Linked DNA regions of Diceros bicornis minor. The protein of the gene in region 3 interacts with the protein of the main gene of each other region in a biochemical or structural test. Links are inferred from orthologs where the notes say so. Each region holds a gene or a part of one and is shown on either strand. Other genes may lie near its edges.

The links.
Region 1: the proteins of BCL2L1 (region 3) and BMF interact in a test that uses a peptide from one of them, tested with the Homo sapiens proteins (2 studies listed by BioGRID). The link is inferred for Diceros bicornis minor from reciprocal best matches to the Homo sapiens genes BCL2L1 and BMF.
Region 2: the proteins of BCL2L1 (region 3) and HRK interact in a biophysical measurement, tested with the Homo sapiens proteins (3 studies listed by BioGRID and IntAct, with this or other methods). The link is inferred for Diceros bicornis minor from reciprocal best matches to the Homo sapiens genes BCL2L1 and HRK.
Region 4: the proteins of BCL2L1 (region 3) and VDAC1 form a complex in vitro, tested with the Homo sapiens proteins (4 studies listed by BioGRID). The link is inferred for Diceros bicornis minor from reciprocal best matches to the Homo sapiens genes BCL2L1 and VDAC1.

The regions. Positions count from the first base shown.
Region 1 is NC_080744.1:38,022,414-38,030,431, forward strand, and holds the start of BMF (bcl-2-modifying factor), read right to left. Parts: upstream 3,011-8,018; 5' UTR 2,937-3,010; intron 2,930-2,936; exon of another isoform or gene 2,551-2,929; 5' UTR 2,423-2,550; intron 307-2,422; 5' UTR 302-306; coding exon 10-301; intron 1-9. UniProt on the Homo sapiens protein: May play a role in apoptosis. Isoform 1 seems to be the main initiator.
Region 2 is NC_080774.1:14,130,024-14,137,390, forward strand, and holds the start of HRK (activator of apoptosis harakiri), read right to left. Parts: upstream 2,422-7,367; 5' UTR 2,295-2,421; coding exon 2,019-2,294; 3' UTR 1,963-2,018; intron 1-1,962. UniProt on the Homo sapiens protein: Promotes apoptosis.
Region 3 is NC_080758.1:27,765,801-27,772,982, forward strand, and holds the start of BCL2L1 (bcl-2-like protein 1), read left to right. Parts: upstream 1-4,174; 5' UTR 4,175-4,256; intron 4,257-4,267; exon of another isoform or gene 4,268-4,370; intron 4,371-4,654; exon of another isoform or gene 4,655-5,496; intron 5,497-5,589; exon of another isoform or gene 5,590-5,701; intron 5,702-5,768; exon of another isoform or gene 5,769-5,786; 5' UTR 5,787-5,898; coding exon 5,899-6,462; intron 6,463-7,182. UniProt on the Homo sapiens protein: Potent inhibitor of cell death. Inhibits activation of caspases. Appears to regulate cell death by blocking the voltage-dependent anion channel (VDAC) by binding to it and preventing the release of the caspase activator, CYC1, from the mitochondrial membrane.
Region 4 is NC_080740.1:53,195,615-53,202,938, forward strand, and holds the start of VDAC1 (voltage-dependent anion-selective channel protein 1), read right to left. Parts: upstream 3,013-7,324; 5' UTR 2,939-3,012; intron 1-2,938. UniProt on the Homo sapiens protein: Non-selective voltage-gated ion channel that mediates the transport of anions and cations through the mitochondrion outer membrane and plasma membrane.

The DNA.
Region 1 (8,018 bases), on a different chromosome or scaffold from region 3:
AGCACTCACCATAAAAGAGTCGCTGGGGTTCCTCAGTCACCCCACAAGGCAGCATGACACCCTGGCTCGGGGAGGCGGGACTGAGGGTCTGGGTGGCCTTGTCTTCCTGGCTGGTGGGTCGAAGCCCGGGGCCACAGCAGTGGGTGAGAGGGAAGATCTGCAGACGGCTGAGGGGGCAGTCCAGCTGGCTCTGGGCAAACAGGTCAGCAGAGAGCAAGCTCCTGGGCTGGGTCCCCGGCTCCCCATCCTCTGGCTGGAACACATCATCCTCCAGCTCCTCTACACACTGAGGCGGCTCCATGTCCCCTGTCAGGGCACAATGCAGGCATCGGGCATGCTGCCTCCACTCACACCAGACCTGGAAGGAATCCCCTCCTTTTCCTTCTTTCCTGCTCTCCTTTCTTATCTTGGGAAGTGGGGCCAGGTACTGATGACAGACAAGCACTGCCAAGAGTGACACCCGCCCCCAGATGTGGACTGCCTCACTGTTCAGGGACTCTCCATACCTCTTCCCTGCGCCCACCCAGAGCCAACCCTCCCCTCAGCCTCTTCTTCTGTCCCAGACCAGTCCCAGTCATGAAGTTTGGCTGCTATTGACTGAGCAACAGCAGGGGCAGGATCAGCTGCTACAGATACGAAGGGTAGCTGGGGAAATGTGGACAAGACAAGCCTCTGTGAGTGACTGTGGGAGGGCAGAAGGGTGCTGTGACTGGCTGTACACACAGTGCTCACAACACACACACACACACACACACACACTGCCCTGAGCAGTAACCACCAAGCTCTCATCTCGGTCTGAGCTGAGCTCCAGGCTCAGCAGCAAAAACAAAAGCCAGCAATCCTAGAGCAGCCAGGTTCCCTCCAAACCTGCTAAGCCCCGCCCAGCTGCTCATCTACTCTCGTCTCCACCTCCTGCTTGCTCAAGACAACAAACAGGCTGGAGGTGTGGTAAGAGTGTGTCCTTGGAGAGACAGGGGAAAAAGACCTAAGTTCGTCATTGCAGCCACCCTCTCAGCAGAGTAGAGCTGTCTGCCCACCACAGCCTGGACTCAAGGGCAGGTCCAGCAAAGTAGTCAGCCTCCCCCAGCTCAGTCTACTCACGAGTCTCCAGACTTCAAATCTTTCCCCACAGCCTACCATTCCTGCCAGCGCCCAACCTGAGATTGGTACAACCTGACTCACAGAAGGAAGTGAAATTCAGCCCTCTCTCTGTGACCTCACTCCCAGCATAGACTATTAGGTTGTTGATACGAGTTTCTTGGTGATAAAGAAGTTCCTCTTGCTCCACCTGATGGTCTTGGAAGTCTGAGCTTGGAACTACCCAGCAACTTGAGCTCCCAACCCAGCCCCCTACACACACACCAGGAACCCCTTAGGGCCCCTGGGGCAGCCAGAAGCAGCAACGAGTGGTTAAGGATATAGAGAGGCAATGTTTTGTCACTGCCAGATTCAATTAGAGATGCCCTGGGAATTCTGTCTCCCAGTCTCTTGCCTTTGAAGAACAAGCCAAATGGTCTGTGGGTTGGTAAAGTACTTAAACCAATCTCCGTTAAATTCAGAAATCCTGCCTTTCCCAAATGCCATTTCTCTACTTGCTTCAACCCTCCCTCCATCCCATCCAGTCCCTGAGCTATCGATGGTCCTATCTCTGCCCTCTTCCCTGGAGAGTGAGGAGATGCCCACTTGGATGGCAAAACAGGCACACGGTGTTCTTTGGATAGTGTTTCCCAAAGGTGGGTGGGAGAACTCCAGTTTATCAGCACCAGGAAACAAAGTTTCCCACTGAAAGGACCAAGTGCTGTCCTGCCAGTCAACTGGCAGGGGCTCCCCTCCTGCCCTTCAACCTCCTCTCTGTAAGCTGGCAATCCCAACCTAAGAAGGGGCCCTCCAAAGCCAATCACAAGCAGGAGTCATTGTCTTGGTTTTTCCTTTGAAGCCCGTCACCTCCCCCTCCCCCTCCCAGCAAAGCCCCAAAGTTCAACCCTTGTTTGGCTGGACGGTGGGGGAGGTGCAGCCAGAGGGTGTGGCTCTGCAAGCCCAGGGGACCCTTCCCACTCTCCACAGGAACTGCAGGTGGCTCTTCTGTAGGTGGGTGCCTCCGGAGGGGTGCTGGGCAAGGTCAAGTGTAAGCTGGGATACAGTCAAGAGACCCTCTCCCCCTCCTTCCCCTGAGCTGAAAAGCTGATATCAAAACTGGTGGGAGAAGGGCACTTCCTAAGAACACTGCCAGGGAAGGCTTTATTCCTAGCAAGGGGAACTAAAGCCCGCTGGAGCCTTCCCAGCCCCTGAGGGCTCTAACAGGGATGCTGAACTTCGACTCCTCCTCCCAGGAGAAGGCAGTAGCCAGACACTCTGAACCTTGGCAGCGACTAAAATCTGGGAACGCACACATACACACGCACTCACACAACACACAGCAGACCTGGGTGACTCCAGGAGAGAGTCTCGGCCTCCGAGTCGTGATGCCAGGGCTCCGCGCCAGGGTCCAGCGTGACGAGCACTTGGGGGCTTGGCGCCCAGACTCAATTGGGAAGGAGGGAAAAAGCCCAGCTGTTAAGGAGAGGCGCCTTCAGACTCTGCAGGGAGGCAGCACAGCCCACAACTCCCTGCCCTACCCCAAAGGCAGACCCAGAGGCCGGGCCGTTCTTGGGCGCCCAGGTCTGCTCAACAGTGCACCGCAGGTTACCCTGCCCACCTGGACCCAACGCCTCGGAGTCTCAAATGCTAGAACCCCCAAGTTCCCTCGTGGAACAACGCACCCAGATGTGGGTTCTGCACCCCATTCCCGCACCCCAGCGCCCCAGTCCTTCATGGTCACCCCAGAAGCCCGCAGCCCAACCCTTCCCGGGCCCCCAGACGCAGCGCGACTCTTCTCCCCACTTCCCCGAGGAGGTGCGATCCAACTCCGCCCGGCCCTCTGCCGCCCGGGCGCTCACCCGGCTGCGGCAGAAGGCGGGAGGCGCGGACCGGGGCGCCGGCGGCAGCGGGCGGGCCGGCGCGGGAGGAGGCCACTCTGTACCGCGCGGTATTGTTTCCAAAATACGCCCGCTCGGGGCATCCCGCAAACAGCTGATGAGGCCCCGCCTCCGGCGCGTCACGCCGACGGCTGGCCAATGGCAAGTGGAGCCCCAAGTCCCGGGCTGGGCGGCTGCCAGGGACGGTCACGAATGTACGAACCTTCCTTTGGAAACATTGCAAGGGGCCGAGCAAAATTCCTACCCCCTCCAGAAACGCAATTGGAGCGCCGTCGCCCGCGCAGATTCCTAACGCAGGCTCGGCAAGCGCTGGAGAGTCCCTGAGTCCTCTCTATTAGGATGGAGAGAGGGGGCGCCAAAGAGACTTTTGTCTTGTCTTTCTCGGGAATAGACTGAATAATTACGCGCGTCCAGAAAGGGAGGGGAAGAGGAGGCGGCGAGCCTTTTAGACGAGGCTGGCGGCATCCAGTGGATGCAAGGTGCGTGTCCCTGTGGATTCCGACCTGGTGGCAAAACACCCTCCCGCCTGCCGAGCGGGTCAGAAGAGAACTCCAGCCCCAAAGCTGTAGGAAGCGTGAGAACACGTGTATCTGGCGCTGTTAGTGAGTGACATTCAGATCAAACACGTCCAAAGGGACCCTCATATCCTCTTCTTGACTGGGCTTGGACGCTCAGAAAAGAAGCGTCTAGCTGAGGAGAGGCGAGATCAAGAATGCAGGGGCTACTTGGGCGGTTGACACGCATCCTGTTTATGGCAGCATCCAGAGATGGTGCTGGTGCTGCCAGGAGAGCAACGTGTCCTGCCGATTGCGTACTATCAAGGGCTGTTTCACAAACATTTATTGAACGCCCACATTGTGTCAGGTACTGGGCTAGGTGCCAGAAACCTGGTGCCTGCACTCAGGGAGCTGACAGTCTGCTTGGAGAGGTAGACTGAAATTGATGGAAAGCAGCACAAAATGTGTTAATTCCAGGGATAATAACTGCTGGGAGACGCAGAAAAATTCAGAATGCAAACACTGGGAGATGGCTTTTGAGTTGGGACTTGAAGGATGGGGAAATTTTTCAAGAAGGAAAACCAGATAAAACAGTCCAGGCCTGGGGGTAGAAGATTAAACTGTTAAACTGGAAAACCTGTCCTGGTAGCAGGGGCAGGCTGGGGGACGGGATCATCAGGTGCACACCAGGATTCAGGGAGGGTGGGCATGGACAGGTAGGGTCAGGTCAGAAACAGAGGTGTCTCTGGGATGCCAGGCTGGGCAATCTGTACTTTATTCTGGAGGCAAAGAGGAACAAAGATTTTATAGAAGAGGAGTGACTTGACCAAGCCTGAATTTTAGGAAAGATAAATAAAAATGCCAGAAATCAGTGAGAGGGAGCCAGTGCCTGCAACAGACTAGGTGAGCGTTGATGGGCCCTGACTCCCGAGCAGATGTGGGGACTGGCAGTGCTCTGACCACCAAGCTGCTGTCTCTGGGTCATAAACTCAGATTTAAGCTAAGGGAGCTGGGACCCTTAGCCCAGAGGAGCCTGAAGTCTCCTTGAACCTTTTCCCTACCCATTCTTTCCATAGCTCTTGCAAAAGGTGCCTGAAGGAGAGTGAACCAGGCATATTGAGGACTGTGGTTGCTCAAATAAGAAAATACTGTCCCCAAAGGATGGAGAAGAGGGAAAAGGGAAAGAAGGGAGAGTCAAGGGTCGCCAGCAGCCGAGTCCCCCCAGGAGTCGATGGATGTCTAGAAAGAGCTGCCAAAGCCAAAAGGAAGTATATTATTTTACCGGGAGGCTTGGCCAAGAGGGAGTGTCAGAGCTGGTTGGGGTGACCTTGCACTCATGCCATACATGGGGAGATAAGGAGACTAAGCCCAGCCTCTGTGTAGGGCACAGAGGAGCCTTCACCATGTTCACCACGCACAGACCTCCTTCCCCTCCTTCCTTCCATCCTTCTCTTCTTCTTTTCTTTTTTTTTGTGAGGAAGATCAGCCCTGAGCTAACATCCATGCCAATCCTCCTCTTTTTGCTAGCAGCAGAGCACACGCACTTAACTGCTATGCCACAGGGCCGGCCCCATCCGTCTCTTCTTATTGGCTTTCCTCCTCTGCCGGTGTCTCAGGCTGGCCCGTGGGGCCTATGAGCATCATTAGGATCAAGAGTAGAACTGATGGGCAAAGCAGCTCTGAATCTGTCCTGTGGGGCAGCACAGGCCCCAGGGGACAGGGGTCATCCTAATTCTGCTGACCCACCGGAGCTGCTAAAGCCCTGTCTGCTTCATCACAGCCCTGCAGGGTGGAATTGGGTCCACAAGGCAAGGAAGGTGGTAGAGCAAGATTTTTACCTGGGATCCACGTATTCACCAGACTCACCAGGGTCTCCTCAGCTTTAGGGTCTGTGAACCCCTGAAACTGGCTAAATTTTTTGTGGGTTCACACAAACATTTGTTTGGCGGGGGGTAGCTCCATAGCTTGCAACAGTTTTCCCTATAAAGGGTTAAAAGTCATCAGTTAGAGGAATGGGGCGGGGGAGCAGAGGGGATCATCTTAGTGGGTCTGGCCAGTTTGCAAGATGGGGGAAGGGTCACACCCTCTAGTGACGTTTCTTCTAAGACCTCTCTCCCAGGCCTTCCCAGCCTGCTCCCTCAGGCTGGTTCTGAAGGACACCGGTGGCTTGGCCTCCTGCGCTCTCAGCCTCTAAGGTCAAGCAGCAGGGCCCAGCCTTCTGAGCTGGAGGGACCAGAAGAGACTGTCAGGGATAAAGGGGTCAGGGAGGTCAGGAGCCTCACTCTCCACCTCTCATCGCTGTCAAAGCAGACTCCTCCCTCTGGGCCCTTTCTCTCCTTCTGGCACAGGGCAGACTCAGCAGTGTCAGGACCCCCTGGGCTGGAGATTGGGGTTTGGAGCCTCCGACCAACAGCAGCACCCTACGAACAGATGAACCCTGGGCTTTTGACTGGGCTCGGAGCACATTGCAGCCGCAGCAACCTTTATTTTGGAGAATCTCTTCTTTCTTTCTCTTCCCACCCCTTGCCCCAATTTGTTTTCTCCTCTGCTGGCTGGTGCTGGCTCTAGAAGGAGGCAAAACTTTGCCCAGAGAAAGGAAAGTTGCTCTGAAAGGCATGAGTGTGGGAGCCTGAAAGAGGCCTGCAGACCTTGCCCTGCAATCTGGGAGGGATGCAAAGAGTTAAGGGGAGGCTGCTTTCAACAGAAGAGAAAACCCAAGCTCCCTCTAGAAAGCAGGAGCCCTCTCCATTGTTTCACCTGGCTATAGGATTTCTCCCTGAGACAAGGAACGGGCTCTGAAACTCCGGTAACTGGATCACTGGGAAGGGAGGTTTTTAAAAAACCAGCTGACAGCTGAATAATAGGAATTACCAGGCAGGCTGCCCCGGGGTTACTGAGGTTTGTAACTCAACCCCCAGGGAGGGGTTAGATTGGAAACTGATTTATGGGTAAGGTGGGGGTCTTGGTAGGGGAGCCCCTTGCCTCTTAAATCCCTCCAGGAGGGATTGTGTACATAAGAAAGACCAGGAACCTGGAAGGCTTGGTATCCTTCCCTCACTGGACTTGCTCTAACAGAGTGAATTTATCTCTCCATGCATTATTCCATCTGTCTGCAAAGGAATAGTCCCTGTCTTCTGTGTTACAGAATGTGTGTGTGTGTGTGTGTGTGTGTGTGAGAGAGAGAGAGAGAGAGACACACACACACAGAGAGAGAGACACAGAGAGAGGGGGGAGAGAGAGAAAATATACCAGAACAGACAGATGGGCTTCTGCTAATTGGGTAAGCAAGTGGAGAGACTTGATTTCCCAGTCGATGAATTCACTACTTGCCAATCACTGGTTCAGTGGGACTCAGAAAAAGCAGGTACTGAAGAGAAAACATTTGGGAATTCAGAGACCTGCGTGCATAGGGAAATGCAGAGACTGAGGCTACCATGGTAAAGCCCAGTGCAACCTGAAAGATAAGGTGTGGTCCAGGATCCCACGAATTATGACATTCAGCACATATTCGGTTTTGTTTGGGGGAACACTCAATAAATATTTGCTGAATGACTGAATAAGTGTACATTTCCACATTTTAAAAATATGAATAGTTCTGGTTGGCGAGTGGGAAAAAAGCTGCAGGGGAGGATTTTCCAGAAACGTCCTGTCTACGTTGTGTTTGCTGCTAGGGATAGCTGGCCTTGCCTGAGTTTCTTCTCACCAGCAGGGCCTCCCCCTCAAAGGCAAAGGTGATGTGTCAACCCTTTGGTACCCTCAGACCACCCCTCTTCTTCAGGCTTGGCACATGATGGAACTCTCTAAGTTTGTGGACATAGATTTACAGAAAAACTACAAGCATGGTCCTTAGGGCAGTGTCCTCAGCATCTCTCTCCCCCACCTCCTGCCCAACCCAGAGCTCAGCATGCCCAGCCCTTGGAAGAGAAGTTGGCTGTATTCTGCCAAGGAATGAAGAAATCCAATCAAAATACTCTTCCTTTTACTCCACTTTCCCCAGGATGCGGCCTCTTTCCTGGGCAAAGGTACATTAGTACATCAATACATACTTCTCTTTGGCATTAGTAAGGAAATCTCAGAAATTTCCAGGTGAGGCCGGAGAATGATCAATTGCTATCAAGGAAAACTGCCACCTGGAAGAACTGGGGACTGGTCCCTTCTGGGCATAGAGTCTCCCAGGTTTTGAATCTGTGCTCCTCTGAGAAGGTGAGTTGGATCAGCTGTTTTCCAGCCACATCCTTAACCCCCACTGTCCTGGAGTGGGAGGGGGTCACTCTCTGGCAATGAGGGAGGGGCTCAGTCACCCAGGTGTGAGGTCATCCTGAGCACCTGCCGTGTGCTAGGCTCCATACCAAGGGCTGGAGGTGCAGATACAATCCCTGGGGGGATCCTTGAGCATATCCACACCCTTTCTTCCCAAACATGAACCTTCATATGCACACCTATACCCAAGCTCAAAGAGAAACTGGGGACGGGAGGAGGGTGTGGCGGGAAGAGCTGCAACTAGAGAACTGAGGGTAAACAGCCTTCCCAGAGAGGCTGAGCCTCC
Region 2 (7,367 bases), on a different chromosome or scaffold from region 3:
CCTCCGGGCCCGCACCCCCAGACCCGACGCGCACACACAGCCAGGCCCTGGCCGGGCGTTCTCCGCCTCCTGGGTGGGGCGCTCAGCATCCCGCACCGCCCTATCCTGGGAAGGGAGCGCTCTCCCAGTCTCACATGGACCCAAGACTAGAGGAAGACGTGTCCTAGCCCCGCTCTCCAATTCTACTGGATTCCTCTCGCTTCCCATCTTTCCTCTGATTCACTTTCCCACTGTCTTGCAACTTGTTCTCCAGGCAGTCTCTCTTTTTCTCCAGCTGCCTCATCCTCCTTTCTTTCCCTGTCTCGCCGCCCGCTTTTCCTTTCCCTCTCCTCCCACCTTCTTTCCGCCTTTCCCTAAATTCCACGCTTTGGGCTTCGCGTCTCTCCCTCGACTCCCTTTTTCTGCCGCCTGCGTCCCGTTTAAAACGTCGTTCCTGTGCCTGGGAATCGGCAGCCCCAGCCTGGCCCCTTCCCGGCTGAGGGCAGCCCCGGGCCTCTCTTTCTGGAGGGGGAAAAGCGGATGGGACCTCCGGGAGCCGGCTGGAGAGCTCCCCGAAGCGCGCACCTCTCCTCGCCGGCGCCCGGGCTGCGCCGGCCCACGCGACATCTGTCGCCCGCGCTCCCGGCTCACACCCCGCGCACCCCCGCAGCTCCCCCGGCGCTGCCACCCCCCACGCTCCGGCTGCCGCCTCTCCCCGCGGGCACAGACGCTCGGGTCTCGCCTGCGGGCGCCGCGCCAGCTTCCCAGGGTGTCGGCGCACCGGGGCGCTCCGCCGGACCCGAGCGCGCGGCATCCGTGGACCCGTGGCATCCCAAGGTGGCTGGCTTTTTCACCTTCGACCCTCACCTTCGGCCCCAGACTCACCTATGGTGGGCTCAGCCTGAGTCTCTCCACCCCCATTCTCTGTAGCTCTCCTCTCTATTCCAGAATCTGAAAAGATGATCCTTATACGTTTGCTCGCCCAAAGCGCCTAGCGCAGTGCCAGGCACACGGCTGGTGCTCAATAATTCCCCAACCCCAAGGGCCTAGTGCACAGTAGATGCTCAATACCTTTCTCCCACTGGTACCAAACACACTTAGGAGCTCCATACTCACTCCCCACCCCCACCACCGCGCAGTGCCTAGCATACCGCAAGCTCTCAAACATTCCATCCTTAAACAGGGCCTAGCATCCAGAAGGCGCTCAATAAATGCTCTTTCATTAAGGCTTCCCCTTGGAGCTTCCCTAAGAGCCTCAGATCCCAGCCCACTTCGGGGGCATCTCCTTCTTCATCTCAGTCCCAACCGTCTGGTGAAGAGGAACCCAAGCTCCTTAAACGGGACACCTCGCTGGAGAAGGAGTGAAAAAGTTGGCAAAGCGGAGGAAAACTGCCAAGTGCGCGGGCCTTGGGAGAACAACAGCCAGCTAGGAACCTGGAGGGAGAGGAAGTCGCGAGATGCACTCGGGGACCCAGAGACTGGGGAACAGAAAGTGAAGTGACACTTAGGAAGAAGAGGGTTTGGAGCGGAGGTGATGGAGATGGCGGCGACTTAGGACCAGCAGGAGGCTTGGAAGAGGACGGGGGACTTGTCTAGAAACGGCGATAGATTATAATTATTTGCGTGGCTTGTAACTACGTTCTCATAGAAAGAACCCTTTTTAACTTGTATTGTGTGTTTACTTGCGGGGCTGGTGGGGATTATGGAGGCGAAAGTCTTCCCAAAGCCACCCCACTGGAGGGAGTGGCAAGATGCGCTTAAGCATTCCGAGAGAAGGGGACAGAAACAGTGGACCTGACACTCGGAAGGAGAGAAGGGAACTGGATAGGAGGGGGACGGAGATCCTTGCGAGAGAAGGGAGCAGAGGAAGAAGGAGATGGGAAGAGAAGAAAGCCAAACTTGCCGCGCTCCCGCTCCCAGGCCGGCCCAGCGTCTCCAGTCCCCAGCTACCGCGCCCTGGCGCGCGCTCGCTCGCTCGCGTACCTGTTGCTCGCTCCGGCTGGGTCTCGGCTCCGGCCCCACCAAGAAGCCCCGCGTTCCTACAAGTTCCGCCTGCCGAGTAGCCAGGCCGCCAGCGCCGCCACCTGCGCGGCCGCGCACAGCCAGGGCCAGTAGGTGGGGAGCGCGCCGGGCGCCGGCACCCTCCGGCTCCGCGCGCGGCGCCGCCACATGGTGCGCTGGTGCAGCTCGTCGCCGAGCGCCTTGAGCCGGGCGGCCGTGAGCTGCGCGGCGGACGAGCGCAGACCCAGGCGGCCCGCGCTGCAGGCACACACGGCCGGGGGGCCGCGGCCGCGGTGCAGGGGGCACGGGCACATGACCGCTCCACTCGCTCCCTCCCCGCGCTCGGGCCGCCCCTCGCCTCCTCTTCCTCCGGCCTCTGCGCCTGCCTCCGCCGCGCTCCAGCCGCCGGGGGCCTCCCCTGGACACCAAGTTTCTCCTTGTGTTGTGCGTTTGTTGTGCTGACGGCGCTATTATTAATTAAAGTGTCACATGGTGGAGGGGGGCGGGGAGGGCTCGAGGAGGGGGGTTACATCATCCGGCCCCGGGGGGGGGGGCTGCAGGCAGAAGAAACCGAGAGGTAACTTTTAACCCTTGCAGCGCCGATAGCGAGGGGGCGCGCGGTTTGGGGGAGGGGCAGCGCGGCGCGCTGGACGCGAGCAGGCACCCCGCCGCCGAGGTCCCGGGCTTGGGGGGTCGCGGGGGACCCCCGCAGAGGCGTGGAGCGCCAGCGAATGTTTCCTCGTCCTCTTTTTCCTGAATTCAGCTCCAGTTCCGATTTGGCGACGGAAGCAGGATCGTTTGCCGTTTTGGATGAAGCTGGTATCGAATTCGGCTGTATTCAAAAATATTCCGAGGCTATTGTTTCGTTTTGGGGAGGTGGGTTGATCCAAAATCTTACGAGAGGGCCAGTGTCAACCCAACTTGCCTACTTTCAGGTCTGACTAGGCACCTGTAGGCTTCGGATTTGAACACACCGGACACACGCCCCCACCCGGCTCTGGGCTTTGGAGCCAGACCCTATCGCGCCCCCAGCGCGGCTAGAAACCTTGCTGGAGGCCCGGTGAGGGGTTAGAGGGGTCGGTCCTTAGCCCCGGCGGGGCGCGGAGGCACGCATTCGCTGCGCGCCGCACTCGCACCCAAAAGACCCTCCCAAGGGGCTTTCTAGAGGGAAACTTATTTTTGTCTCCTTCCTTTGTGAATATTATTTTCCTGCCAGGGTTATAGTTTCTAGCGGCGATCCCGATTTAATGCGCGGTGGATACCCTAAGGGGTCGGTGGCGGGAGGGACGCTGGGGACTTGAGCCCTTTTCTCTGTGCAATCCAAAGGCTGCGCCTATGTTCCTTCAGACTAGAAGGTCTGGAGTTGTCCCTGCTAGTGAAGGTACAGATGGGCGAGCGGCTTTCAGGATTCTTTGGGAGAGAATGACCATCTCCGATCTTAAATCCATTGGGATTCAGATCAGTTTGGGAGTCAGAAGACCGGAGGAGCCCGGAGGTGGCTCAAGGTGGTGGTCTGGGACCTGATGAGGAAGCTTTGATTCTCTCCAACCCAGGGCAGAGTGTTGCTGAGGCCTAATGAGTCCTCTGGTCACTTGGAAAAGATTCAAGACCATGAACTTCGTTTGGATCTGGATTTATTACGAGGAGAGATTCCCCCGGCCTGCAGCATGTTCACGGCTCAGATCCCAGCTCTGCTGTGTGATCTCAGGGGCCCTTGCCAGCCCCGGTTCTCCTACCTTTAACCATGATCAACACTTCCCTTACTTAGCCTTCTTTGTGGGTTACTGGGCTAAGGTCTCTGCCTAGCTGCCTAGAGTAAATCTCGCAACAATTCTAGAGGAGGAGAGGGTGTTATTACTATCCTACATTACAGATGGGGAAACTGAGGCACAGGGAGGTAAGGCCTCTTGCTCAAGCTCACAGAGTTAGTGCAGAATGAACCTGTATTTAAACTAGGGCAGTCTGCCGCAGGCTCTAAACTCTTAACCACGGTTTTATACTGCCCCCTGTAATCTGGGAATAATAATACCTCCCTCCCAGGATTGGGGCAGAGATTAAATGAGAAAAATGTATGCCAGGCACCTGGCATGCAGTGGGCCCTGGATAAACCTTGGTTCCCTTTGCTTCTGGCCAGAACCACTTCCCCATTCTCCTGGGACTCACCTCCTTAATCCCCCCTAGTCTTTGCAGAGGGGAGCTGATCCATTGCCCAGTGGAGCGTTCCAAGAATGAAGATACAGTGTCTATTTAAAAAGCCCCTTGGATTTAAATTGAACAATTCCCTCCCCCCCCTTTTTAATCTGCACGCTTTTAACGGCTCACTTCATGGACATTAATTTTAATGGGACGATTATTACCCTGTTTGGAAGCCTGCCCCTCAAAATGCTGGACTCGCAAGGTGGCGCTGGGTCCGGTCCCAGCCGCTTGGATGTTTTCTGTAGCAGAGAGAGTGCAGCCTTGGCCGTGGGGACGTGTCATTCAGCAGAGGGAGAAGAGAAGGGGGTGATGGAAAAGTAGGGGGAAAGAGAAAACCTCTCGCTCCCCGACTCTGCAGTTGATAGTCGCTCATTTGCTCACACTGGAGTTGTTCTGCCCTGTCCCCCTATTTACCAGCTGGGGAACTTCGCCTTGAGATGAGGCTTTTTGGAGCCTCCATTTCCTCAACTGTAAAATGGGGATAATAGCCCCTATCTCACAGAGTTAAATAAGATCATTCCTATAAAGCACTCAACGTGGTGTCCAGCACATTCTTAGCATTTAATAAATGTTGGCTATTGTTAACATTTTAAAGTAGGTCATAGAGTCGCTAAGCAGTGTGCTTCGAAGAATGTTGGAGGGCCTGCACCCTCAAATATATATGGTTCCCCTATTGTGAATTGGCGATTCTGTCACTCATGTTAAGTATTGTCCAGAAAAAGCAAATTCTGTGGGAGAGTAACATAATGCTCTCGTAACACTTTAGTTAAAATGAGTTTTTGATTTTACTATTTAATTTGATAAACACTTATATAGTGCTTACTCTGTGCCAGGCACTGTTCTAAGTGCCTTAGACATATTAACTCATTTAACCCTCCTAACAATGTTATGTAATAGGGCAGGTACTGTTATTGGTCCTGTATTATGGATGAGCAAACTGAAGCAGAGTGTTTAGTGTATCCAAGGTCACACAACTGTCTGGCCCCCAGAGCTTGTGCTCTTTAGCATTATGTCACCACTGGGGACTTGGGAAGTGAGAGGGAGGCTGTTATAGGCTGACTTGTGGCCCTCTCCCTCCCCCCAAATTCCTACGTGGAAGTCCTAAGCCCCAGTACCTCAGAATGTGACTGTTTTTGGAGACAAGGTCTTTAAAGGGGTAATTAAGTTAAAATGAGGTCATTTGATTGGGGTCCTCATCCAGTATGACTGATGTCCTTATAGGAAGAGGGAGAGGCACCAGGGGCTCGAGAAGATGGCCATCTTCACACCAAGGAGAGAGGCCTCAGGAGAAACCAACCCTGCCAACCCCTTGATCTCAGATTTCTGGCCACCAGAACTGTAAGCAAATAACTTTCTGTTGTTTGAGCCCCCCAGTGTGTGGCACTTTGCTGTGGCAGCCCTAGCAAATGAATACAGAGGCAATGTGAGGGGCAGAATGTCCTAGAAGGGAAGTTAGAAGCAGATAGTCACCAGACTATGGCCGCTTTTACTGCCGGGTGTGTTCTTGGGCGTTTTTCTGGGTTCTTGAAGAGGGCTGAGTTCCAGGACTTCTCCTGTGTTCCCCTTCTTTCTCCTCCATGTCCCGTGGGAGGCTTTTAAGGGAGGAGGAGTTTTAGGGGATGATTTTGAGAAATAGTTCATGAAATCCAATTGATACCTTTATTCAGAGAAAACTTTCCCTACCAGTTGCAAGGATGCGCAGCCTCTCTCTCATAGAGTGAAGAGATAAGACAGATTTTTCTAGTCCATGCAAGTTCCCTATGGAATCCCAGTACTTAAAACTGGGCTTAGCACATAGCAGGTGCTCATAGCAGATAAATGTTTGTTGAAAGAAAGATTCAATGAATGAATGAATGAATGAATGGTAAGCATCCTGATTTGTCTTTCTGTCTTTCAGACATGCACTGTGATGTACATAGAACTGTTATCATTAATAACATAAAAAAATTCTTGCCCCAAATCATTCCCATACCTCCTACCAAAATCAATACTCGAGTGTTTTGAGCGGGAATGGGAGGGGTCTTTCTTTTCTTTAATTAAAACAATAATTACCTACCCTGGTGTTTGAGACTGAGTGAGCCTTACCTTATGTTGTTTTAATTCGTGTGGCTTGGTGGAGTGGTAAATGAATGAACAGCTGTGACCTCCTCCAAACAGCTGTGTTTCCTGAAGCCATGTATCAATGCCAGGGCCAGAGTCGATGCCAGGAGTCAGTTTGGGGAACAACAGAGTTCTCGAATCGTAGTCAGTGTGATAGCAGAATGGTTTGATACTCCAAGCCAGAGAGACTTAGGTTTGAACCCTAGCCCTGCCGTGCAATAGCTAGGTACCTTGGGAATATTTTTCACTTCTGTGAGCCTCCATTTTCCTATCTGCAAAATGGAAGTAATAATCATAGTTCCTCATTGGATTGTTGTGGGGATTCAGAGAGAATGTATCAAGTGTTTAGCAAAGTGCCTGGCACTCAGTAAATGTTAGTTATAGTGCTTGTTGATATATCAGGATTATTAAGTATCCACTTAAGCAACAGAACTGGGACCCTGACCCAAACCCACTGGGAGAAGAAGAGGATTCAGATTTCAGTGAGTCCAATATTCAATTACATCACATTTATTCCCGGGAAAGCCCCCTCCATTCAATAAACCGGGAGCAGGACAGCTCTCCTCTCTCACATGTATCCTATTTAACCCTCTGATACCTGAAAAGAGGGGCTAACTCCTCCAGGGATCTCCAAATTATTCATTAGATACTTCTCTCTTAAGGACCTTTTTGTTGCAAGTAAAGAGGGAACAGCAGACAAATGTCCGCAGCAGGAGAGAAAAAATTAACCAGCCCATAATTATAGTCTCATCAATACTTGAAGCGAGAAGGGTAAACCTCACTTAAATAAAACCTAATGCCGTGATTACTGGAGTCACAAGAGATGGGGTTGGTTAAACACGCACCCCTGCTGTGAAAATTCAGACATAGCGTCCTTTGCTCCAGCAATAATCACTTTATTGAAGGCAACCGAGCTTAGTCTACACAAGCGAATCACTAGACTTGAAATTATACTGAGAGGGTAAATGAGGATAAATGCTAGAAAACAATTTGGCAGATCTGGAAAAATTGAAAATGCGTGTGCTCTATGACCTGGTGGTTCCATTTCTAGCTATTTACTCTAGCCCAGTGGTTCTCAGCTAGGGACAGTT
Region 3 (7,182 bases):
TTGCCTGTTTTCAAACTATATATAAATGGAATCATACTGCATTATTCTTTTGCATTTTTTTCATGCAAAGTATTTCCGAGATTCTTTCATGCTGTGTAGCCAAATCCACTTATTTTCTTACTGTATCATATTACTATATATGAACATACTCCTATTTGTTTAACCGTTTTGCTATAATGGACACTTGGGTAGTTTCCAAATTTTTGCTATTACAAGTAGTGCTGCTATAAACATTCTTATACCTGCATCTTGCACATGTGCAAGAGTTATTTTAGGGCATATATCAAAGAACAGAATTGCCAGGTCATAGGTCATGGGCATTTTCAACTCCACTAGATAACAATAATTTTTTTTCCGAAGTTATTTCACATTCTTGAACCACACTTGATTTGATCAGATTTTCTCAATTTTGCCAATCTGGTGAGTGTGAAATGGTATCTCACTGAGGTTTTAATTTGCATTTTCCCTGATAACTAGTGAGGTTAAGCATCTTTTCAGGTTTACTGACCGCTCTGGTTCCGTTCCTCTTTAGCATCTGTGCAAGGGTTTTTTTCCATCTTTCTTTTGTCTTTATCATATTAATTTCTCAGCCTTTTTCGTATGTATGGTATTTAGAGTTGAGATCACATCACACATCTACTTTTGTATACTTTTATTTTTGTATAAGCGTTTCCTCATTGTCTAAATCTCAGCAAACATGTTTTTAAATAGTGTTTTCTAATTTAAAAAAATACAATCATGTTCGGATAATACAGAAAAGTATAAAAAATAAAATAAAATCATCCATAATTTGACTACTCAGCAATAACCACATTTTTGCATTCTGGTATAATTCCTTCTATATTTTGCATGTAATGTACGTTTTTTATAAATTAGAATAATTCTCAGTAAACCTATTTTTTTTTTTACAAAGTATTATGTTTTGAGCATTTTTCCATGTCATTAAATATTCCTCAATTACAATTTTAATGTGTGAATTTAACCCATTTAACCATCACCCTATTTATTGAAATTCTCAGTTTTAATTTTTCTTTCCTGTGTTATAAATAATCTTGCATAAACATCTCTGTGGATAAATCTTTGGCTGTATTTCACTTCTTTTCTTAAATTAGATTCCAATCAAAGATCATTTCTCAATGATCTTTCCAGAGCTGTTTTTAAGGCTCTTGATAAATATTATAAAGTTCCTTTCCCAAAAGACTCTATCCCTCTTTCCAAAATATAAACCTCTCCATGTCCTTTCTGTTCAAAAAGCCTGGTAGGCTCCTCCGGTACCTATTTAGTGTCCTGCGCAGTCGAATACACACATACATTCAGTCTCCTCCACCACATTCTACTCTCAGCCATCCCACTTTATTTCTAGGACACACCATGGGCTCTTGCATTAAACCTCCGTGGCTTTGCTCAGGTGGTGCCTTCCACCTAAAATGCCCCTTACCTCCTTTCTCTCCCAGGCAAAATCCTATTCTCCCTTTAAGGGCCAGTTCAATAAAAACCATGTTTCTGGGCAGAGTTGATCTGCCCTCTGCTGGGCTCCCAAAGCACATCATAGACTTCCATAAGGATAATTTTCACATTGAAATAATTGTGACACCACAGGTTTTAAAAGTGGAAATCAGATCATGTCCTGCCCAGTTTAAAACCCTTCCATGGAATATAATAGAAAGTTCAGAAATTGACCCAAATACCGTTGGGAACGTAGATTATGACAATGGAGACATTTCAAATGAGTTGGGAAAAGATGATAATATTGAGATAACTAGGTAGTTATTTGGAAAAATTTTTTGGATTCCTGTCTCAGACCTTAAAACAAAGTAAATTTATGATGGAACAAGGATTAAAATGTAAAATATGCAACCATGTAAAAACTAGAAGAAAACAGAGAATTATTTGTATAATATCAAACTGGAGAGGGTCTTCCTAAGAATGGCATAGAACCCGGAAGCCACAAAGGAAAAGACTGATACATTAGAATACATACAAAATAAAAGTTTTTCCATGGTAATAAATAATAAACTGGAAAAATATTTACAACCTCCATATAGAAAAAAAGGATCAAATTTTCTATAAATCAATGAGTAAAAAGTTCAACAGAAAGCCCAACTGAAAAAAGGGCAAATGAAATGAACAGAGAATTCATTAGAACAAGACTCCTCCCCCAAAAGACTCACAAATATGAAAAATTAGTCAACTTCACTCTTAATAAAAATAAAAATAAAAAATGAAAGTGTCTCCGTTTTTATCTATCTGATTGGCAAAAATAAAAAGCTTTGATAACACTGTATAGTTCAGGATGTGAGGAAATAGGCACTCTCATATTTTATTTGTGGGAGAACAAACTGGTACAACTCCTATATAGAGCACTTTGCCAATATCCATTAAAACGCAACGAAAACATTCTTGTTTATTGGTGATTCCACTTCCAGGGATTTACCCAACAGATAAACTGCCACATGCAAAATAAGGAATGGACAAGTTATAACTTTATTCGTAATAGGAAAGGACTGGAAACTACCTAAGTATTTCCAAATAGGGGATTGGGCAAGGAAATTATGACATGTCTTTACAAAGTTGTGCATTAATTTAAAAAATTGAGGCAGACCCAAAATACAGAGCTCATGGAAAAAGCAAGATGTGAAGTGTTTATAGCAAGCTACCATTTGTGTGAAACATTTATACACATAAATTTGCTTGTGAACACAGCAACCATCTCTGAAAGACTACAGAAGGAAGGGGTTAAGAGTGATGACCTCGGCCAGGCCCCGTGGCTTAGCGGTTAAGTGCACACGCTCAGCTACTGGTGGCCCAGGTTCGGATCCCGGCGCGCACCGAAGCACCGCTTCTCCGCCCATGCTGAGGCCGCGTCCCACATACAGCAACTAGAAGGATATGCAACTATGACATACAACTATCTACTGGAGCTTTGGGGGAAAAAAAAAGGAGGAGGATTGGCAATAGATGTTAGCTCAGAGCCGGTCTTCCTCAGCAAAAAGAGGAGGATTCGCATGGATGTTAGCTCAGGGCTGATCTTCCTCACAAAAAAAAAAAAAAAAAGAGTGATGACCTCTGTGAGGGGAACAGGGGACTGGAAAGCAGGGGTGGGAAGAGGACTTTTTCATCCTATGCTCTTTGGTATATTTTTAATATTTGGTGTTCCTGTATACGTACCTATTTTTAATCAATTACATTAACATAAAATAAAACACCTTTCAGTGTTTAGAATCAAGCGCAACTCACTTCCATGGTCAGCTTTCCAACTTCCTCTCACACCGTATTTGCCCTCCCTCACTACCTTCCAGTCACATTGCTTCTGGAACATGCCAAGACCTTCCTGCCTCAGGACATTTTGCACAAGCTGTTCCCTCTGCCTCTGTTGGTGTTCTCTAGGCTCTTCCCATGAGTTGGCATTTTCTTATATTTCAAGTCTTGTGTTCCATGTCATCTCTTCAAAGATGCCATCCTTGGCTACCCTGCAAAACAATTGTTGAAAAAATGCCTCCCTCCCTCACTGGGCACGGAAGGCTGGGCTTACTTCCCTGAGCCTCAGTCTAAAGCAGCACCTCTCCCTTCACCCTCTTTACAACAATGCCCTGATTTATTTTCTTCATAGCACTAGTCACTATTTGAAATTACCTCGTTTGTGTAGTTTCTTAGTTGTTTACTGTCTCTCTCCATCTCAAGGGTTTAAATCTCAATGAAAGCAGGGACTATGGCTTGTCTTGTTCCTAAATCTACCTTCAGCAACCCAAACAATAAACATTTGTTGAGTGAATTTATGCAGCACATCCTATGGACGGTGCACTCTTCTATGGACTTTACAAATAACTCTTTTAATCCTCACAACAACGCAATGAGGGAGGTTGTTTTTTACCCATTTTAGAATTAAGGAAATTGAGGCACACAGCAGTTGAGTGACTTGCCCAACTGGCAGAGTTGGAATCCCAGACGCAAGCTTGTTAGCTACAACGCGATGCTTTTTCGATCTATAAACTGACGGATGGATGAAATTGACTGAATGGAAACGTGAACGTAAACGTGGATTTTTTTTTGCGTCTCGGGATTCCCCAGCTCTACAGCAAGGGGGCGCTCTCTCCCAGGTCTTGACGCCAGTCCTCAAGGCGCGCACTCCCTGTGCGTCTCGGGCTCGCGCGCGCTACCGCGGCACCGGAAGTGACTGAGCTTGCAAGTTCCCCCGGTCTCTTCAGGGGAAACTGAGGCCGGCTCGTTCGGAAGAGACAGCGCGAGCCGTCAGCCAGGTAGGCCGGCCCGGGTCCGCGGCGCGGAACTCGGCCGCGAAGAACCCTCCCGTCTGGAAACGACTTGGCCGATGAAGGGGGGATGTGGCCCCCCACGGCTGGCGGGGCGCGCAGGTGAGAGCGCCGCCTCCCCTACGCGTGGCAGGCGCTGCGCCCAATGAGAGCCCTCGCCGTTCCGCTTCCGTGCCGTCTGGGCTCGCTGATTGGCTACGCTGGGGCGGGCCGCCGGGGGCGAGACCCCTCCTCCCAGAAAGGTCTAGGGGGCGCCCCTGAGGGAGAGCGGTTGCCTAGCAACGGGGCGGTGGCCCGGCGGGTACCCGGCCCAGCGCGCGCGCGAAGCCGCGAGGCCGCAGCCCACCCACCGCGGCCGCCGGAGAGGTGCTGCCCCCGGCCCCCAAGCCCTCCTGGGGGCGGCACGAATCTGCCTTGGGCCTTCTCCCAGGAAAACGTGGTCTTAGCCGTGGGGGGCCTCGAGCAGGCCTCGACCCCTCTCCCTGACCCGAGGAGAGGCCCGGCGCCTCGCCCTCAGCCGGTCTTTGTGCAGGGTGCCGGCGGCCATTGTGTCCGTGCCGGGAATGGAGGACCCGGCAATCCTCCATTGCCACCGCCACGTCCAGGGCCTTTGGGGAATTCAAAGAAAACCGGCGGCGTTTCTGGGAGGTCCCCGGCCTTCAGCCTCCCAGAAAGGCCTGGGGATGGCCTTTCCGAAGTCACACCGCAGATCCGAGGCAGTTTCCCCCTCCCTCCGTCCCTCATCGAAACCTTGAGCCCCATTGAGAAGTCCCTTCAGGGTTTCGGAAGCCTCACCCTGGGCTGGTACTTAAATAGGAAAGAAAAAAAAAAAAACAAAAACAAACCCTAAACCCCACACCAGCCACCTCCGGGAGAGTTCTCCTGGCTCCCAGTAGGAGGCGGAGAGCCAAGGGGCGTGCAAGAGCGAGGGGGCTGGGCTCCCGGGTGGCAGGAGGCCGCGGCTGCGAGCGGCCGCCCTCGATCTGGGCGATGGAGGAGGAAGCAGGCGAGGGGGCCGGTTCCTGAGCTTCGTAATTCCTGTGTCGCCTTCTGGGCTCCCAGCCTGCCGGGTCGCATGATCCTTTCAGCCCGAGCTGGTTTTTTTGCCAGCCGCCGCGAGGCCGGCTGAGTTACCGGCATCCCGGCTGCCACCTCCTCTCCCGACCTGTGATACAAAAGATCTTCCGGGGGCTGCACCTGCCTGCCGTCGCTTGAGAGGGATTTGAATGTAGGTGGTGCGGAGGCGGGGGTAGGGGCCCGACTGCCCAGGGGGGTGATTTTCCGAGGAAGGCATTTCGGAGAAAAAGGGGTGGCTGGCGTAAAAAAGGCCGGTGTGATGATTCAGAGCCCACTGGTGCTTTCAGTTTGACTTCATTGAAGTCTCCTGGAAGCTAGACCAGACCTTCAGAAGAGCCACAAAGAAACCAGTTCTGGTACCTGGAGGGGGAATGGGATGTTTGTAGGGTAAATGGCATGCATATTAATTTTTTTTTCCTGAAGCTCTTTCTCTCCCTTCAGAACCTTATCTTGGCTTTGGATCTCAGAAGAGAAGCACCAAGCAGAGACCAGACTCTGTGAGTGAGCAGGTGTTTTGGACAATGGACTGGTCGAGCCCATCCCTATTATAAAAATGTCTCAGAGCAACCGGGAGCTGGTGGTTGACTTTCTCTCCTACAAGCTTTCCCAGAAAGGATACAGCTGGAGTCAGTTCAGTGATGTGGAAGAGAACAGAACTGAGGCCCCAGAAGGGACTGAATCAGAGATGGAGACCCCCAGTGCCATCAATGGCAACCCATCCTGGCACCTGGCGGACAGCTCCGCGGGGAATGGAGCCACTGGCCACAGCAGCAGTTTGGATGCCCGGGAGGTGATCCCCATGGCAGCGGTGAAGCAAGCGCTGAGGGAGGCGGGCGATGAGTTTGAACTGAGGTACCGGCGGGCATTCAGCGACCTGACATCCCAGCTCCACATCACCCCAGGGACAGCGTATCAGAGCTTTGAGCAGGTGGTGAATGAACTCTTCCGGGATGGGGTGAACTGGGGTCGCATTGTGGCCTTTTTCTCCTTCGGTGGGGCACTGTGCGTGGAAAGCGTAGACAAGGAGATGCAGGTATTGGTGAGTCGGATCGCAACTTGGATGGCCACTTACCTGAATGACCACCTAGAGCCTTGGATCCAGGAAAACGGCGGCTGGGTAAGGACCACGCCCCTTGTGTGTCCCTTTTCCTTGGCCTTTGGTCAGAGAGATCCCCAACAGCCTCTCCCCTCTATCTCTTTATGTTGTGCTGGGTGATTGTTGGAGATGTTTTTTGTCAAGGAGATGTGAGTAGCCTCATTGCACCACAAGAGGTTAACTGTTCTGAAATACAGATGACCCAGATCTTGAAGGACCAGGCATCTTTCATTCTAGTCACCCTCATGACCCCACTCTTTCATACTTGTGTTCCAGTTTCTCAGAAGAGCAAAAGACAGCCTGTGTGTTCATTTGGCCCAAAACCTTTGAGAGTGGGAAGTTAGTCCACTGTTTCCCTCCCCCTAATATAAAGGCTTGCCACGCAAAGGGGGGATGAGTACAATGCCTGGAGAAGATAGTATCAGTGACCCACAAGCTCCTCCATTCTTACTCCCCCGGGATGTCAGTCCTGTCCTGGGCTTCCCTCCCCCAAATCAAGTTCCCTTTTTTTCAGGGTTTGCATACATGGTACTCTCCTCTCAGAACAGGGCATGGCCAGGCAGGAGTTCCCCCTGGCTTGGATGGCTGAGGATGGTCTGATTTTAGGGCAATGTAAGCTGTGCCAGTGGGGCAGTTGTGTTTGTGCTGCTCGCCTATGGTCATTTGCTCTGAAGTGTGCAACTTTCTGCATGGTTGGCCTGTTTGCGGAGCTCTTGCTGTGTCACGCATTAGGCCTGGGGA
Region 4 (7,324 bases), on a different chromosome or scaffold from region 3:
CTTGCCATGGCCCCGTGGAGTGGCAGCTGCAGTGTGAAAGCACCAGCACTGGAGCTAGCCAGACCCAGCCCTGAATCCCAATTCCACTCCCACTGAGCTGTGTGACCTTGGGGTGCTTACCTCACCCCTCCGTGCTCAAGCCTCCTAACCCCTGAAATGGAAACAATAGCACCCCTCTCCCCAGGCTTGTAGGAAGGTGGATTCAATGTCACACAACACGTCAAGCCCCCAGGAGTGTGCTGAGCAGGCCCTCAATAAAGAATGACTGTCATGATGACAATCACACCTCTATAGTGGAGAAACTGAGGAACAAGAAAGCAACGTGACCTGTACTAGACCCTACGGCTCATGTCAGAGCTGTGTTGCAAGCTCCATCTGCTCTCCAGGACTCTTTCCAGCACAGTTCTGGGTAAAGGGTGTAAGTGCCCACTCACCCCCACCCCCCTGAGAGCAAGCAGTGAAATGGAGGATTGTGCCCAGGCCCCGCTGAGGATCCCACTGGTCACCTTTCTTCAGGGACTACCAGAGGAGTGTGTGGGGAGCCCAAGGCTACAGGCCCTCTAGGCACCCTGAGGGGCAGCCTGCAGGCTTGGGCTGGCTCTCAGCCCCACACACGCCTCTCTCAGTCACGACCACCAAGGACATCACACAGTGAGAAAGTCCATCCAGGGTAAAGTGGACTTCAGTGCCTCAGGAGTATCTAACCAGTAAAGGTGGGGGTGAAGGGCCCTCATTACCACCAGCTTGGAGGTCGTGGTCCACATCTGCATAATGTCCAGCAGGACCAGAGGCCCACAGGCAATTCCTCACCATATGGTCCCCCTGAGCCCCTGGGTTTGTGTCTACAAATAGCCCCTGCCTATAGCCTATAGAACAGCAGGAATAAAACTAAGTAACCAACTGAGAGCAGTCCCCCGTCCCCATCCCCATTTACAGTCCTCCTGTAAACCTGCTCAGGACAACTCCAGCAGAAGCCATCAACCCACCCACCATCAGAGACGGAAGAGGCGCCAGGCCCAAGGCCTTTAAGAGAATCCCATTCGCCCATGTCACCTCCCCTGCAAGCCCAGAAACACCAGTTCAACAAGTTCCCCACAGGACTTGGAAAGCCACAGAATGAAGATAATGTGTTTAAAGCAGTTATTTCAAATTAGGAAACAGTTTGCCTCTCACTGCTCTAGGGCTGCACATACCATTGCAGCTCTTAAATATTTGGGATTCTCCGCTACGTAAGGCTATTATTTTCTGGAAGTGAGTGAGATGCGTGTGTCCCTCAAGAAGGATGTCCAGGATGAAGGGACCATGGCCCAGGCCTGCCGCCACTTCACATGCCCATCCAATCATTCACAAACACTTAATGGGCACCTACTATAAGCCACATGCTGGAATGGTAAAACTACCTTTCTGTCAATAAGAGTCGACTCTTGGACAAAAAGCAAGAGTGCATTTACCCCCAAAGACCCTTTAAGTACCTACTGTGGGCCAGGTGGCTCTACCCCAGGCACTGAAAACAAAGCTGCAGAGGGCTTAAGCCTGACCCTGTCCAGAGGGTCAGTCCAGAGCTGGGTGGAGAGAAAGGAGGCAGGCCCTCGGCAGTCGGCCCCGGCCTTGTCAACAGCATATTAGGCAAAGGAGGAGCCCACTTCCTTCTCTTCTCTGGAGAGGGGAAGCTGGTCAAGGGGATGCGGGCCTCAGGTGGTACAGGCCCAGGCCTAGCCCAGGTCTGCACTCACACTCAACCTCCTGCTCCAGCCTGACCTTGTCTGTCTGTGAACTTAAAGGATTTTTCACGAATTATCTGCAAGTTACTCAACGCCTGGCACACAAATGCTTAATAATAATGTTTAAAATAACAGGGCTACGTTTACTGAACTCTTTCCAGAACACCACGTGGAGCAAAACGGTGTGCAGGGGATGGGCTAGACCCTCCCCAAAGCCTCAAGGGTGCATGCCAAGGTTTCTACAGAGGCCTGCTCCTTGCCAGGCACTGTTCTAAAAGCTTCGCGTTAATCAAGTCATTTTATTTTTCCTAAAACCCAGTGAGGAAGAGGTATAATTGCTCCCGCTCTACAGATGAGAAAACTGAGGTTTAGTATCTTCCCAGCTGCGTGACCTTGGACAGTCACTAGGGCTGCGGCCTCAAATCCAGAGGGCTCTGGACCAGTTTCATGAGCGCACCACCACATTTAGTAAATGAATGAACGATCAAACTGGGAATACTTCCAAAGGCCAAGGAGGCCAAGGCGCTCCCAGAGGGGCCCCCTTCGCCAAGGCCTAACCTCTTGCCCAGGCCCCAGCCCAGGCCCCTGCGGCCTAAGTCGGCTCTCGGCCTGCCGTTCCGCCCCGGAAGGCGCTGGCACGCGCGGACAGTGCCGGGCGCCAGCTTCTCCGGGCGTGGACCGGGCAGGCCGGACAGGACGTGCGCGGCTGGGGGCGCAGGGCCACGGTGGTCACATGAGCTCATCCCCACCGGGACGGTGTGGCCCGCACAGGTCCGAGGGCCAGGCCCGGCCGGGCGAGCGTGGGTAGCGGGAAAGTCCCTGCCTGACCGGCGCTGGCGGGACCGAGGGCCTGAGGGCACCGCCGGGGAAGGTCACCTAGATCTGCAGCCGGCCCGGCCTCCACGCGGCGGCCCGTGCCCTTCCGCCCGCAGGTCCCCGCGGGCTCTGGCCCCCAGCCCCAGGCGCCTCCGGATGTCCGTCCTCCCGCTCTCCCGCCCGGGCCCGCTCGCCGCCCGCCCGCCCGCCCGCCCGCGCGGCCTGCTCGGCCCTCCGCTGACCAAGCAGCCCGCGTGAGCCGCTCCCGCTCCCCCCTCGGGCCCGGCCCGGGGCCCCTCGCCCTCGCCCGCTCCTCCCTCATCTCCTCCCCCTCAGCTCCCCAGGAGCCCGGCCTGCGGCCTGGGACGCAGGCAAAGCCCGGGCCCGTCTCCTGCGCCTACCTTGGAGGAGGCGGCGGCGGGCTCGGCGGCGGCTACGGCGGGGGCTGCAGCGCGAGGAGCCGAGAGAGCGGCGGGGCCGAGGGCGGGGCGGCGCGGACGGCGGCGGCGCGGACCCGCCCCGACCCAGCGCGCCCGGCCCGGCAAGCTCCACCCCCAGGGCCCGCCCGGGACACCGCCCAGGCCGGGCCCCGGGCCGCTTCCTGCTCCGGAACTGCGCTCTTACCTCCCCGGGCTCCTTAGTGCCCGCAGCGGACGCGTGTGCCCACGGGCGTGTGCGGGGGCCCGGGAGTGCCTGCGTGCGCCCGGGCACGGGGCGACGGGGGCTGACGTGCGCACGATGTGTGCGTGCGCAGGGACACGCGTGTCCGGCCTTTGCTGGAAATCCCGCCCGGTTGAAGCCTTCGGCGAGGAGGGGGCCTCTTTCGGTTAGCTGAGCGGTGGCCCGGGGTCCCCTGCGCTCAGAGAAGACACGCGGGGTCCTGGGCCTCCTGCTCGGCCTCGGGGCTGGAAAACAACCCTCCCCTGCTGGGGGAGTTTATGTGGCGGGTGGCGCTGGCCCAGGGCCTAAGCCTGGGTGGACGAGGTGATCCCCGAGTCCCCCAGCAAAGCCCGCGCGGGCTGTCAAATCGGGCTCCGAGCCCGTGGGGCAGTCCCAGGCCCGGCTCGGGGCCGGGGCGCCCGAGGCGGCGCGGATGCAGAGCGGCGGCCACGACTGTTGCTCCTCGGCTCCTGGCTCCTGGTTCCCGACACAGTGTTTCCGGAGCCTCCGATCCTTCTTCACGCCGCGCGCGGCTTGCAGAGCCCCGCGATGGCCGGGGGCGAAGCACCAGGAAAACCTCCCTGTGCGCCGAGTTTGCATTCCAGATTAGCAGACAGTTTGCCCCGTAGCGAAGCTACTAGCAGCCATTTTCGGAGTTTTTGAGAAGTAAAAAAAGTAAATTGCGTTTTGCAACAACGTCCTCTGCTGGGTCTCCCGGCGGGCCGAGGTAACGCAGGTTCCCACCGGCCGAGGGCCTGCCTCCCGCGGAGCTGGGTTAAAGCGTGTGGAGTCTCCCTGCTAGGCCTAAACGGGTGGTCTCCTTCACTGGGTGTCTCTGGCATCGCGCGTGAGGCCCACTCCAAGCCGACTTCGAGAATTAATAAATTCGTGGCTGGATGAAGATTCTGCACATCCTTCGCCTTCGGCCAACAAACGTTCTCCAAGGCTTGAGGCGGCTAAGACCCCGTGGAGGAGGCGCCAGGACACTGGCTCACAACCAGCGGCGGCACAAATTAAAGCAGTAGGCAAGTGGGGCGAGCGAAGAGGCAATCAAGACAGACTGCTGGAAAGAGGCGGCAGCTTAAATGGGAAAGTGGCAACTGGTGTTTCAGTGGGGGCGGGGTGCTGAGAAGAAGGGAGCTTATTCAGGCAGTGCGGGCAGAGTGCTCTGGGCCCTTTGGGGGCTCAGATCTGACTGAAAATGTGAGGAGGAGCCCCTAAATCCCTTGAGGTCCTGGAGAGTGGAGGACCGAAGCTAGAACTCTCCCCAGGCCCCTGAGCTGTTCTATGGCTGACTGGGGACTCCAGGCTTCCCAACCTGGTGGTCCTCACGCTGCACACAAAGGCCCCAGCCCACTCCAGGAGAGGGTCAGGCAGGGAAAGCCACTGCGTCACCCATGAGTGCAGTGAGGCAGAGTTTGGAGGACAGGACCTCAGGGAGGCAGGGCAGGACCAGGTGGCTCTGCGGGAAGATGGGGCTCCAGAAACCTCATACAAGCTAGAATCAGATGCTGCGCCCTGGGTCAGTGAGAACCAAGTGGCACTTAGACCAAATGTCTGAGGTGCTCCCTCCCCTCCACACCTTCCTGCCACCCCCCCTTTCAGGACCCTCCACCTGGGGAGAGTTCCCCATGCCCCACCTGCTCTGAGTCCCTTCTGGGGCTCCCCTAGATGCTGCTTTCAGATTCATCACCTCAGCCCCCTTGAGTCACTTACTGGCTGTGTTACCCTGGGCAACAGGCCTAACAGCTTCAACTTCAGAGGGCTGTTGTGAGTTTAAAATGGGACACTTAACAAGTAAGCACTCAGAAAACAGTGAAGAAATCCGGTGGGACATGGAAGCCCTCAGGCCCTAGTGTTGACCCCTCAGCACCACAACCCTAAGGCAAGAGCTGAGCAAAGGCAGCTTGTCATACCAGGCTTACCAACCCCACCCCCAGCCAAACGGCCACTCTGTCTGCCACAGCTGATTGGCCTGGGGTGGACACTGGCCCAAGACCAGCCAATCAGGTCCTCTTGCAAATTTGACCTAAGAAACCCATGTCAGGTCTAATAGTTTTTCTTTGGGGGAATGACTCTTCTCCTCCTCCTCTCAGTCCACAAGCTTTGATGGAACTGTCTCCATCCCTGACTCCAGGGCCATTCTTGGGGTGGCCCTGTGGCTTGGCCTGACCAATCAGAGCATTGCACTCCCCTGGCTACAGGGATGGGCCAATGAGACCCAGTCAGAAATCCTGGGGCTATTGAAACACCTAACCGCTTTCCTGAAAATGAAGCCAGCCCCCAAAAGAGAGACAGAGATTAGGTCCTAGGGACATCATGCTCTGGGATCTAGCCATGCCTCAGGCAACTCCCTGTGCTTTGCAGCTGTCTGTGCTGAAAAATTCACTTTTTACTTTGTCCAGTTCTGATTAGGTTTCCTTCCAGGTCCTTACTCAGTTCACCTCCTCTCTTCAAGCAGAACAATGTACAACATCCAGGAAAACTGAGATTTTTCTTTTATTTTTAGTATTGGAGTGGGTGACCAGTGTAAGAATATTTCATTTAGGGAAGTTCCTTCTTATATCTAACTTACAGCCATAGGGCTTCTACTATAGATATTTAGCAAGATGGAAAGCAGCCAATCACCTTCCTAAGAACCTATGTTGAAACACTTCCCACCCTTCTCTTTTCAGGGCCAGAGGTCCCTGTACCTCTTTACTGTCTTTGCCAAATAATCAGAACCTGAAGATGAGGTCTATGAAAGTAGAAATGGAAGATGTAATTTACATAAATTAATTTTTAAAGTGAAAAACATTCTGCTTGTAACCAGCATCTATGAATTGGATTATAAAGCTGAATTGTCATAAAACCTAACCTTTCTAACCAATTTCTAGACTAGAGTCTGGTTAAGAGGAGTCAGGATTGAGGATTCGTGATCAAGAATCCCAGGCCATAGTCCCCACATTGTGCGCTGACACTCATCACACAGGGAAGGACCTGGCCAGGCCTCCAGGTTCTGGGTGACGTGGAGAACAAAAGTCAACCAGGAAAACAGAATGGAAACCATCCCAAGATAAACACAATAAAAATTTTTCTCCTGCATATCCAAAAGCATGAAGTGTCCTAGATCTAAAATAGTTCCAAGAAGTTCCAATATCATATCCATGTTTTTTTTTAATTTTATATACATCCACACAGAAATATTGGAAAGAAAGTATTAGTGAAAGTTGTGTTTCAATTTATGGAACTATGAGTGATTTTTTTCCTTTTGCTCTTTCTGGATTTCCCATATGTCCTTTAATGAGAATATATCTTTACTATAAAGAGAACTTTTTTTTTTTATGAAAGCCAAACGATCAGGAGAGGTTGTATAAACTGATACAATCTGGAAAGCAATTAGGCAATGTGTAGTAAGAATCATAAACCTGCTCCTGGGACCTATGCTAAGGCAATAATCCTGAGTATGGGGAACGCTAGCTTCAGGAAGGCACACAGCAGCCCAGTGTGGAATGCAGCCTGGTCTCCAGCTTGAGAAAATGGAAGCACATCCTCTCTGTGGAGCTTTCATAGCCTTGGGGAGAGAAGGTCACAAAGACTTCCTGTGGGGACTACTTCTGCTACAACGCTAACTGAAGGCAATCATGTATCAGTGTTACTGCAACCACACCATTAAATACTATAGAGGCAAACTATGGTAGACAGAATAATGACCTCCCAAAGACAGCCACGTCCTAACCACCCAGTCCTATAAAGATGTTACCTTACATGTCAAAAGGACCTTATCAGATGTGATTATGTTAAGAATCTTGAGATGGAGCCAGTAGCCTGGATCATCCAGGTGGGCCCAATGTGATCACAAGGGTCTTTATTTATTTACTTTTTTTTGTGAGGAAGATCAGCCCTGAGCTAACGTCCATGCCAATGCTCCTGTTTTTGCTGAGGAAGACAGGCCCTGGGCTAACATCTGTACCTATCTTCCTCCATTTTATGTGGGACGCGGCCTCAGCATGGCCTGACAAGCGGTGCGTCGGTGCGCGCCCAGGATCCAAACCCGGGCCACCAGCAGCGGAGTGCGCTCACTTAACCACTAAGCCACGGGGCCGGCCCCCACAAGGGTCTTTAAAAGAGGAAGACTGGGGGCCGGC